3 linked regions of the Rattus norvegicus genome follow. The protein of the gene in region 2 interacts with the protein of the main gene of each other region in a biochemical or structural test. Links are inferred from orthologs where the notes say so. Each region holds a gene or a part of one and is shown on either strand. Other genes may lie near its edges. The genes, in order: Rab31, Eea1 and Rab5c.

Evidence for each region.
Region 1: the proteins of Eea1 (region 2) and Rab31 form a complex in vitro, tested with the Homo sapiens proteins (2 studies listed by BioGRID). The link is inferred for Rattus norvegicus from reciprocal best matches to the Homo sapiens genes EEA1 and RAB31.
Region 3: the proteins of Eea1 (region 2) and Rab5c form a complex in vitro, tested with the Homo sapiens proteins (2 studies listed by BioGRID and IntAct, with this or other methods). The link is inferred for Rattus norvegicus from reciprocal best matches to the Homo sapiens genes EEA1 and RAB5C.

Annotation. Positions count from the first base shown.
Region 1 is NC_086027.1:112,825,223-112,829,329, forward strand, and holds the start of Rab31 (ras-related protein Rab-31), read right to left. Parts: upstream 2,871-4,107; 5' UTR 2,781-2,870; coding exon 2,742-2,780; intron 1-2,741. UniProt on the Homo sapiens protein: The small GTPases Rab are key regulators of intracellular membrane trafficking, from the formation of transport vesicles to their fusion with membranes.
Region 2 is NC_086025.1:32,490,241-32,494,603, reverse strand, and holds the start of Eea1 (early endosome antigen 1), read right to left. Parts: upstream 2,811-4,363; coding exon 2,787-2,810; intron 1-2,786. UniProt on the Homo sapiens protein: Binds phospholipid vesicles containing phosphatidylinositol 3-phosphate and participates in endosomal trafficking.
Region 3 is NC_086028.1:86,145,899-86,149,497, forward strand, and holds part of Rab5c (ras-related protein Rab-5C), read right to left. Parts: intron 2,777-3,599; exon of another isoform or gene 2,761-2,776; intron 1,911-2,760; 5' UTR 1,823-1,910; coding exon 1,657-1,822; intron 342-1,656; coding exon 190-341; intron 1-189. UniProt on the Homo sapiens protein: The small GTPases Rab are key regulators of intracellular membrane trafficking, from the formation of transport vesicles to their fusion with membranes.

The sequences.
Region 1 (4,107 bases), on a different chromosome or scaffold from region 2:
GCCACCAGGCCTTTCCAGCAGGAGTCAGACTTTGGTATGCAGTAAATACACTATGCCACCTTCTAGGCAACTGAGGGTAAAGCTGGCAGGGTATATAAGGCTTCAAGGGATCTGTGACATAGCTTTAAAACAAAACAGGAAGCTGAGAGTCACCCAGAGCAGGTGTGCCTGACCATGACAACAAGGTCTAGGGTTCCTGCTGAAATCCTAAAAGGACTGTAGGACTGACTCACTGAGGACTCCATCATCAAGCACAGGGGATCTCTCAAATTTGAGCAGGCAGTATACCAAGGCTGTGGACCTCCCTTAAAGAGCATCTTAAGACCACCTCAAACATACAGCCAGGGTATTTAGGTAGGTAGCTACAGATGCACCCTGTCAGTCACACTGTCACATCTGGCCCAGAAAAAGACCAGCCAAGAGAAGCCTGGAAGCCTAAGGACTGGTACTCAGTATGGGCCAGTTCGCTTGCTCTTTGAAATAAAGTATCTTCTGACCTTGGCAACACTAAAATGTGAAGCTCCCTTCAAAACAGGGAGCCGCTGATGTGGCATGAGATGAATGGGGTTTCAAAACTTCCAGAATTTTCTTCTTTCTCCGTTATAGCGTCCTCCACCCCCCGTTTAAATTCCTATCTGTAGGGCCATCACAAAGAGACCAAAATCAAAATAAGGCACCATCACTGCCTCTAGGAAGCCTGTGGAGATTGCTTTGTTTGTGGAGATGGAGAGAAAAAGAAGAGTTTCTCCAGTTACGTCATCTCACCCAGGCTTCTCACCATCGCAGACCAGCAGGAAATGGTCACTCACACATAAACGCACACACACGCACACACACACACACACACACACACACAATACCACATACACCACACACACACATACATACACATACCACATACACCACACATACAAACACATACCACACACCCCACACTCACACCACACATACACACACCACAATACCACACACACTACACACACACATCACACACACACATCACACACACACACACACACACACACACACACACACACACCCGGTAAGAGACCATCGAGTATAGAGATCTCTGCCTTCAAAGAGAAAGGATGATATGTCCAGTCTACAATTAAACCACTTAACTACCTACTCAGCCCTTCCAGGCCCTGGGGCAGAAGACAGGCCAGGCCTCTTGATTCCTGGTTCTGAGCCCTTGCCACATTCATCACTGTCCTAATAGGACACTGAAACTACAAATTAAAGAAAATGTCAATGGGACTGAGCCTGAGCACCTCGGTAGGTAGATTGCAAAGGGAGAGGTGTAACTCACCTCCAACAGCCAAACGTGTTTCCTGTTTCATCGTTCCCCATGGCTAACTGTTACATGGCCCTAGCACCAAAGCTTCCTTTTCGTGGGGCCTGATGTTCCTTTGAAATCTTCAAAGGCCTTTCTCCTGTGGGACTCCTAGTTCTAGACTATTCCCCCGCAGACGTGAAGCTTGCTCCTATGACACCAAAAGTTCAAAGGAGAACTCCAAGAGCAGCATCCTGCCCAGCCTCCTGGGTGAGGAGCCCTAGACTCTGCTTGACTCTGAAGAGGAAGAAAAGGTCTTTGTCAGACCCTTGGGATTCTCTACAAACCACTGCAACTAGTGGGAAGTGTGGAGGGCTGAGGGCAGTGTGGGGTTCGGTCCCCAACACTTCCTTCCATCGAGGGGGCCCAGATGAAACCACAAGCTCCTGGTGCATTCGACCCTAATCCACAGTCATTGCCTGTATTCACCTCCACATCCACCCTGACAGACCCATTAGCATTTCTTTGAGAAGAATGGATGTGGCCCTACTCTTTTATTTAGGAAATACTTTTCCTTACAGGGCCAGATTTGCCAACTTCAAGGGCAGTATGCCCGGTGCTAATGCCAAAGACTACAGAAGACTGCAGAAGACTACAGAAAACAAGGCTTAACATCAACTCTTACTTGGGAAGACTTCCGGAATTTGGTGTGGGTAGCCCCAAAGAAATGACCCCTTACGCCGAATCCCCTGGGCGTTTCAAGGGGACAGCGCACAGTGGCAGAGTATGTCAGTCTGGTCTGCCGGTCTCAGGGTTTGGATGCCTTTTCTTTCTTTGTTTCTGACTGCTTTTATATTTCTTGGGACTGACACTCATTTTGGAAGAGGAAGGGTGATGGGGGCGGGTGTTTCTCATCCTGCTTCATTTTCACCCACTGCACGGAAAGTGTGCTGGACGTACAGTTCATACATAGTTTGCTCTTAAGGCTTCGCAGTGGGGCCAAAACCCCGGTCCTCCCACTCTTACTTGGAAGGATTGGTTTGTTGGTTTGTTTTCTGAGAGGATAAAGCAATTGCCACCACCGCTTTCTACCCACCCCTGCAGGAGGCAGAGGAAAACCAGAGCCTCCGCGGAGTGACTTAAATATTCCTCAGGGAAGTAACCACCAGTGGCAGAGGCAAAAGCCGTAGGGGCTCAGGGGCTGCAGGACCCGCAGTCGTCCTGTTCTCAACAACCCCCAACCTCCCACTCCTCCACCCCGCCCTGCCGGACCTGCAGCTTGGCGAGCCCCAAGGTTGCCAGACGCGCGGCCGCAGACCGGAGGCGCTCCGGAGCATCTGGGACCCGGCGGCCGGTGTGGGGCGCGGGATGGAGCGCGCGGGACCCAGGGGAGCGCGCGGGAGGCGGGCAGCGCGGGGACAAAGGCGCGTAGAAGCCGGGATCCCCGTAGGCTGGGGCCAAGACTCACCCCGAGAAGACACACTTTGAGCTCCCGTATCGCCATCATGTGCTCTGGGTCGGGCCGGGCCGGGGCTCAGCAGCATCGTCCGGGCCGCACCGCGCCCAGCCTGCGTCCAGCCGTCTCCCAGGGCTCTCGCCGGCCGCGGGGCGGAACCGCCGAGGCGGCTATTTCTGGGCCGCGGCCTCCGCTGTCGGTCACGTGCCGCCGGCCGGCTCCTCCCGACGCGTCTAGTCTAGCCTAGCCGCGGGGCTTCGGCTCCGCCCGGCCCCGGTCCCGCTTCGGCCTCCGGTGACCACCCAACAACGGACTTGCGGGCAGACCGTCCCCTCCCGCGATCAGCTCGGAGTCTGGTCGAGCATCACTTGCCTTGGGAGACCTGGACACAACCCGTCGCATCATAAAGAGCCATTCGTCCAGTTCATGCTGTTGGCTTTGGTCCCAAGGAAGAACTTCCAAGTCCCTGGGTAGTCCCACCATAAAGTAACTCTGACCTCTTAGATGTAAGAAACAGCGGCGGCCAGGGACTGGGGTGAGGAGAGGAAAGGGTTAACTTGTCTCTCCTAGCGTCCAGGCTTCCTCCCAACACTTCACTTTACCCTGTGCGCATTTTTTTCTGTACGGCGGCAAAGGACGATGATTCAGGGATGATTCGAGAAGCAGCCAAGAAGCGAACAACTGTTTCTGTTTCCAAAACTGGAGCACTGAGGCCTGGGAAAGGAAAGGTGCACTCTGGAGAGGAAGCCCCCCTTTCTCCATGTAGAAAATACTACAGCTGTGTGGGCAGGAGCCCAGCTACAAGAACAGCCACGAGTGGGGGGCTGACAACCCTTCTGCAGACTCCTCTACTAGGAAACTGAGGCTATGTGCAGCATGGCTTCACACTGAGGGGCCATGCCCTCTGGTCTTTGTATGGCCCAGTGTCCTTCCAGCCTCTGGGATGACTTCATTTGTTGCTGTATACAAATGACGGCTCTTGAGGAGTAATCTAAATCTACTGGCACTTCTAATTGTAAGCATGTGTTTTCAACAACACTGGATGTGGCTCCCCTGCCCGCAGGAGTGGTGGCTGTTAGAAACTGATTGACCAGGCAACCTGGAAACAGACTGACCAGTACAGAAGCAGAACCATCCTTTAATGAGAACAATGAAGAACAGTTGTCTCTCATGCAGTGGAGGCCGCCAGTGTGTGCTTCGGGCTTTATAGGGCTGAAGAGGGATTTGTGAAAGGGAAGTTTTAGCTGTTGATGTGGACTTTGTAGTTTCAAGGCCCAGTGTCAGCAGAAGTTCTCATTACCTGACTTTCATGTTGGACAGGTGTTCTTATCAGTACCCTGGGTCTGGAGTTCCTCCTTGTCTTTGAAGTTCCCTGTTT
Region 2 (4,363 bases):
ACAGAAATGTAACGAGGCTAGTATCTGAATCAAAATACTTACTCCTCACATCCATATCAGAGTGTCTTAATCACCATTACCATCTTTCCAGACTTTTCTAAGCCTCAATAACACCTTTAGTAAGCTAATAGAAGAAGAGGAAGAAGAAAATTTCTGTGATGTATCCTAAGGACTGCCTAGTAATGTTCAAAGACTAAGCTAGAATTTATTATATGTGTAATGTCCTTTGTCTTTCAAAATGTTATCTAAAGTATACCAATCAGAAGAAAATTATAATAGTCAAAATAAAAGGTCATCTAAAAACAGGATGTGAAGGGCAGTGAGATGTAGTTAGAAGCGTAGAGACTGCTCAGCAAAGCTCTAAATCAGTGTGTATAGTTTCAGTTTTGTATCTTAATGCCATTGCTGAGAAATAAGGTTGACAGGCAAAGTGAATAAAATTGACATTTACAAAATTTAAAGATTCATGTTATACCTGTTAGCAAAAAACACCTGTAGAGTTAATAAAAAACACCCAGTATAGGATCTACATTAGTAATATAGATCACAAGTCCTATCGTCATCAAAGGCAGACTTGAACACCTTCAAAGAGCTACAGGTTCCTCTCTTAATTTGGTCACTCCTCACTAGAGTAGCCTCATATCCCACCCATCCCTGAATACCATCTCACTTCTTAAACTTAACTGTTCATCTCCCCCAAGCATGTTTTGTTCCTTTAATGGTCCCATACTTTTATAAAGGCTATTCCCTCAGCCTGACAATGTCCTTTGCTCTCAAGCTATAAATATGCCCTCCTTCCCGAAGCTTATCATAACTGCCTAACACCCTCCTCCAAAGTAGCTCCCAGAGCATTCCTCATTCTTCCAGTTCACAGCACTGTAATTACTTTTTGATGTTCACCTCCCCAACCAGGTACTGAGTTCTAAAGGGAGGGCCACATCTTATTAAAAACCATTTCATAGCTCCTAACATTATGCCTGAATCCTACTGAAGCTCAACATACACACTGTAGAAGAGAACATTAACTATAAGAGACATTTCAAGATTTTCTATTGATGGATATATCCATATACATCATATACACATACACATATACATGATGGTGGCTCTCAACCAGAGGCAATTTAGCCCCTAGAGAACATTTGGTAAAGTCTGGAGATAATTTCGGTTGCCTCAAAGCAGATATAATATTGGAAGTAATGTTGCTATCATTTACTCAATAGAAGTATGGATGACCTTAACTACTGACAAATACATCCTAGGCCACCACTAGGACAGAATGACTTGCTCACAAGAATCTCTAGTTCCAAGGCTGAAAAGCCCATTTGTCAATCTGGTTTATTTAAATATGAGGATTCAGTAATACATCTCAGCAGTAACCACAGTAATCACCATGTGTTGGTCTTGACAGAGACTTCTAGAACAGATAAACAAACAATACTAAGAATGACCTTCACATAATCCCAGGTCTTCAAAACTGGAAAGCAACCCACATTTTTTGAAAGTCAGACTGTAGCCACCAGAAGCAACTCCCAAATCAGAAAACACTGTTGATAAACTTTAAAACCACAAACTCCTTTTCTTTTGTGTAACTATGACAAATATATTATATATATATATATATACATATAATAATCAATCATGCACAGAAGCCTTTACTCTTAGACAAGGCAACTGATGAGGAGAGAAAAGGGTATGCCCTTGTTTGCTACCAAAGTACCGCTTTATCAAATTTTCAAAAAACTACCAAAACGATTGCAAAAGGAAAAAAGAACTCAAATGTCACTCCAGAGGGTCAGAGGCAGGAGTTAACTATTTTTCCTCTGATGCATGACCAGATGACTTCAACGTTTCACAGAAGCTGTCTAAACAGAATCTTCCCTTCCTGTGTACTAGCTGACTCAACCCTCCTTGGCACATTCCTTAACTAAGTACTACACATTCATTAAGTTCCTGTCCTTTGAACTAATTCTCCTACTCTTTAGGTAACATCTCTTTACATTAACCAGTCTCAGAAGTGAGCGAATGGAAGCCATCCAAAACAAAACCTTGAGTAGGCAACTCTTATTAGAAGAGAATTTAATTATGTTATTCTAGGAACTGGTACCTAAACAAAACACCTACGGCTTTCCAACGCTCTTACCTTTTTACCCTCAAGATTTTCCAGATTTTACATTGAGAAAGCCCCAGTAGAAACTAAACTGGAGTGCATTTGCCTTTTGATCCATTTATTCCTGGATAACTAAAATGAGGCTCTGGGTCTTGGAAAGGAAAATGCACTTGTAATTCTTAAAAGAAAGTTTCCAACAGTGAGTAATATCTTCCTTCTCCACTTTGGCAGTTAAGCTTCTTTAAGTCCCAGCACTAGGCCGGGTCTCCCATTACCCTCTTGTACGGTGCAGAAGAGTAAGGAAGCAGAGCGTCGAGAGGCAGGTGTGTGTTGTGGGGTAAGTGGAGGCAAGCTGGAGCAGGGAAGGGCCCGGCAGCCGCCCACCGCCCAGCACAGCCTAGCACCCACGGGCGGGGAGCGGGGAGGGACGCGCGGGCACCACACCCTCCAGCCCGTGGTGACAGCCCCGCGCGGGAGCCGGCCTGGGGCCTCCGGGCTCCGGCCTGCGCCCCGCCCCACCCGCAGCCCGGCTCCGGCAGGACCTGCAGGCCTCGGCGCACGCTGCCACCGGGCCTAGTGGAGCCCCGAGCACCCCCGTCCGCCTGCCCGGGCTGCCCGCGACCAGGGCTCGGACGCTCGCGCTCACGTGCTGCCGGAAGGACGGTTTCACTCTTACCCTCTGCAAGATCCTCCGAAACATGGTTTGTCCAGCCGCCGCCGCCGCCGCCGCCGCCGCCGCGGGGACTCTCCGCACCCAATGCGGGTTACTCACGACTGGAGGGCGCGAGGGCCGGCAGCCGAGCCGGGAGGAGGGCGGGGAAGAGGCGGCGGTGGACGCGGCTTTGGCGGCCCCGACTTCCCCACAGGCGGCGAGAGGCTGCGAGCACGAGCCAGCGAGGAGGTAGCCAGCGAGCGCCCGCCTGCCGGGCCGCCCCCGTAACTGACAGCTGGGCGGGCCCGCCCGCCGTGGCCGAGGGGCGGAGTCGCTGCAGCCCCGCCTCCTCGGCCTGTCCATCCGCAGGAGGGCGGGGCAGGAGGTGGGCCCGGCTTGAGGGTTTGACCAATCGGAAGCGGGTCAGGCGTGACAGACAGGCGGCAGGAAGCTGATTCTTCAGCTTCTTCCGCCCAGCGCTTGGACCTCTGGGCGCCGGACCCTGCTCAGGAATTTAGAGGGCTGCATCCTGATGGAGAAGCTGAGTGGACACCTCATGAGTCCCTCCTGGAGGTGACCCCACCCCGGGCTGGAGGAACAGGCTCCAGTGTTACCTTCAGCCGAGCTCCAGCTTATGATGGAAGTTTGGAGCGCTCTTAGTGCGTCGACCCTGAGCCCAATCCTCCTCTTGGCTGGAAAGGCTGATTCGACCACTAAGCTCCAAGCCAGTGTGAACCCGAGAAACCGAGGCCTACTTAACCATGTTGGGCTAACCTCTGCTTTTCCAGTCCCAGTTTACCCGCTTTCCTGCTTCTAATTGCAGCTAGAGCCACAGTAAAGCATGGGAGGAGGCTGGGTTTTGGATTAACTAGAGAAGTTTGAGGTTATTCCTTTGTGACAGGGCAAAGGTCTCTTCATCTTAGTTCGGCTGGAGCCATCTTTGTTTTAAGCTAAAACACTCTCTCTCTCTCTCTCTCACTCTCTCTCTCTCTCTCTCTCTCTCTCACACACACACACACACACACACACACACACACACACACACACACACACACCCTTCCATGGGAAAGCACCTAACCATGTTCTAAAAGCAAGGAGTTGAAATACCCCAGCTAACTTCGTGTCCTTGGCTTCTGTTTAACTACTTGCTTGCTTCTTCCTGCAACTGCCAACTAGGATGTGAGTTTTCTGTGTTATTTGTCACTTAAAACTCTCTGTGATGTACATTCGAGGTTGTTCTGTAATAATTGTTTCTCCCCCAGGCTTGGGAGGCCTCTGGCAGGTTCTAGATGACTAAACTGCACAAGGTGAGGCTTAGGATACTGACTATACCTAATGACCTGGGAGCTGAGGGAGTAGTCAGAAAGGCCTGGGAATTGAGGATTCCTGGGTGGGCTCCCAATTTGCAAAAAGACTGTGCAAAAGAAAGAGGCATTGAACACCTCGGGTAAGGTTTCTCTGTAGCTAGTAATCCTAGGGACTTGTGGAAAAGCTAAATGCAGTGTCAACTTGTGAGTCAATGGGGCTGCTAGGATGCTGTCCTCTCTGTTAGGTTCAGATTCTCTGAGTCTACCAGATTGTAGAACTTTCCTTTTTTGTAT
Region 3 (3,599 bases), on a different chromosome or scaffold from region 2:
TGTCATTACAGATGGTTGTGAGCCACCATGTGGTTGCTGGGAATTGAACTCAGGACCTCTGGAAGAGCAGTCAGTGCTCTTAACCACTGAGCCATCTCTCCAGCCTGAAAAATGAAGTTTTTATAACCCAGTTCTTGGGTATGGGCAAATAGAAATGAAGGGCAAAGAGAAAGGAAGGAAAGTCTTTACTGTGTTGGTGATGTCATAGACCACAATGGCTGCTTGGGCCCCCCGATAGTACATCGGGGCCAGGCTGTGATATCGCTCTTGCCCAGCTGTGTCCCAGATCTCAAACTTGACCGTTGTGTCGTCTAAGCAGACAGTCTGTGTGAGGAAAGCCGCTGCAAGAGAAAAGGTGCTGTCATTAGGCAAGGAGGAGCTGGAAACCACCCTGACTTGGGTGTCTCTGTTGTTGATTCTGGCATGTAGAAGCCTGTCCACACAGGGCAGGTGGGGCTTATGCTCCTCTATGTTGTCTGGGAAGTGTCTGCACTTGAGTCATTTCAGAGCCACCCTGCAAAGCACAGCAGGGGCTGGATAAGGGAGGCATGGGGGAACCCTGATGCCAACCTCGAAAAGGTAAGCTTCCATTCCCCCTAGCCTTCCTTCCGCTGCCCTTCACAGACCCATTTCAGCTCAGGGGTGAAAGCGACCTTCAGTTTTGGGAAGGTATTCTCTCTGGGAAATATACACTGTCACACTGCCAGGCTGTGGCTGGGTGGCTGGCTTCCCAACTACCCCTGCCACCTCCAGGCACTCCAGCAAGCCACTATCCCCACTGTGACTCAGAACTGTTCTTGTATGGCCAACCTGTGGTTTGAATACAGATGCTACCTGAGACAGAAACACAGCTGCCTAGAAACCTCCTACCAACCAAGAGAGCAAAGAAGGAAGACTCAAGTCCATGGGTAGCCCTGGCCTCTTGAGGTTCACAAGGACTATAGATGTGAGAGGTTGAGGCAAACATGCTTTGAAGGAAAATCCTAGAGCTGGGACAGACAGGTAGACAGGTAGGACTCCCCATATCCTGGACTCAGCAGAAGATTATGACAGTTCTGTGGGAAGCGGTTTTCCTTGTTGCTGTTCCCCACATCCCCAGCCCCCTGAAGAGCCTGGGCTGCCAACTCACTTCCCTCTCTCTAACTCCTAACAGAGCTGAGGAGGCAGTGAGAAGACTGCTGACATGGCCCATTCTGTTTCCAGCTGCCTTGAAATCTACTAACCAGGAGAGCAGAAGGAAGACTCAAGTCAAGGCTGGCTCAAATTTGAGAGGCTCAAATTGACTAAGGATGTGAGAGACTGAGTCTAGACCCTTATTCACATCCTAAATGCTGCCCAATGGGGAATCAGAGATACCTTCTGAGCTCCAGAAAGAACAAAGGACAGCAACAGAGGACAGAGGACAGGACACACATACTGCCCTGCAGGGAAGAAAAAAAAAAGGCCTCACATCCACACAAATAATAGAGGCCAGACTAGAGCAGAAAGCCAGTTTCAATCCCTAGGTAATTCTTAGCATCCTTGCTTCTGACTGCTGGGTTCAACTCCAGAGCCCAATGACAAAAAGGTGTTCCAAGGTCAGACCCAGTTTCTGTATGCACAGCTTTCCTTCTCCTCCAGACACCTCTGGCCTCCCGACTCCCTTTGCTCACTCACCTCCAATTGTGCTCTCCTGGTACTCATGGAACTGCCCCTTGACAAAGCGGAGGACCAGGCTGGATTTGCCCACTGCAGACTCGCCCAAGAGGACCAGCTTAAACTGACAGATCTTGTTGCCTGCAGCTGGTCCATTGGGTCGTGCTGCACCTCCTCGACCCGCCATGGTGCGATGCTCTGTAGTAGTACCAGTGAGCGTGGGGGTGGGGTCGGTGCTTTGCAAAGAGGCACTTAATGGGAAGGGAGGCCTCCAACTGCAGGGGAGAAATCAGAAGTAGGGAGTTAGAATGAGACTGTCAAAGGTGCCCTCCCTGATGACCTGGGTAACTGCTCTTGCCCCTAGACTTCCAGCCCTTTCCACAGGATTGAACAGGAAGTCTTTACTACATTGAACTATACTCTCTCCCGCAGAGTGGTACCAAGCAAAATGGCTTCCCAACGTTAGGCTCATGGTTCCTGAGCAAAAACTCAGACTTCCCTCTCTCAAAAACATAAATTCACTTAAAAAAATACAGGAGAGGAATGGATACCAGCATGAGTCAACAGGTTCATTGAGCTCTACCTCTGCACTCCCCCAAAAGAGGGCCCTGGAAGACAACTAGGATTTAGGTCATCAAACAATAAGATTGTAGTCTAATACTAGGCTCACAGCCTACTCTGCAGGAGCAGTGTGGGGAGGTGGGTGAAGGCACAGCAGGCCCTGGCAGCCAGCTCCTCAGATACGGTGCTTATGGTACTCGGAGAGCAAGACCTGGCAAGCTAGAGTTGTCATCAGAATGGCCAGGCTTGTGCCACACAGCACAATGACTGACTTTCTTGCCTTTCTGAGGCTGTACACCAGAATCTAAGCATGCTCCCTTGCACTTCCTCAGCGTCTTTCCCGTCTTCAGTTTTGGAAGGGCCTAAAGTCTCACACACATTAAAAAACAAACCACACAGAAAACCAAACATGCTCTGTGGCCGGAGCTCTGCCCCAAGTCTCTGCTGCCAGCTCTCCCTTTTAAATAGAGACCTAGCTTCCACTGCCTACTGGCAGAGGCAGAGGTGACACAAAGGAAGCTTAGGGGGAGGACGGGTGGAGGCAAACATGACACTGAGACCTACTTTCCTAGCAGCTGGTGGTCCAGTCCTGAGTTTACCACTCAGCCTCAGAAACTCAAACTTTCTGGAAGCTTCCAAACTGCACAGAAGGATGAGAAGCCTCTAGAAAACATATGTCGAAAGATATCAGAACACACATAGGGAGAGCTGAACTTCCCCTGAACGGGAGTGTATCCCCTATAGTCCAGGGACAGGGAAATGATGAACAGAGGCCTGTGGGAAGCTCTGTGTCCCTGTAAGAAGCTGACAGCAAAGGGCCTGCTTTGTTCAGCCTCAAATCCTTTGCACATCCAGAATCTCCCAACAATTCATTTTAAAAGTGAGCTTCAGGAAGAATGACTCACTAATCAGGAGCAACTGTTTCCTTTCTGGGCAGCACTAAAGGAAAAAAAAGCTTTGAAATGGGGGCCACCTCTTCCCCAAAGTACAAGGAAGGAAGTTGGGGGGGGGGGCGGCGGCAATCTTCAATATGATTACTAACCAGAAATGTCATTTAGACATGCCATAGGTAAGATGCTTTCTCAGTCACCCTGGACAGGAAAGACAAGGCCTGTACAGTTTCATTGGGAGAGCTTGCTCTCAATGCCCATGCGTGTTCTAGGAACTCAGAGTGCTTACCTCAGCAATCATTCTGACAGACGGAGCTAGCACTCAAGGAGAACTGCACTATTATCTCTTTTGAGCTTTAACATAACCTTCTATTTTTATAGACATAACTCGACAATATTAAGTGCCCGGGTCAAGGCCATTCAGTATACAAGTGACAGAGTCAGGACACTACTGGCTACTCGGGTTAGTACACACAGGCTCATTTGTTATCAGGCTGTTCTCCCTGCTGGGGC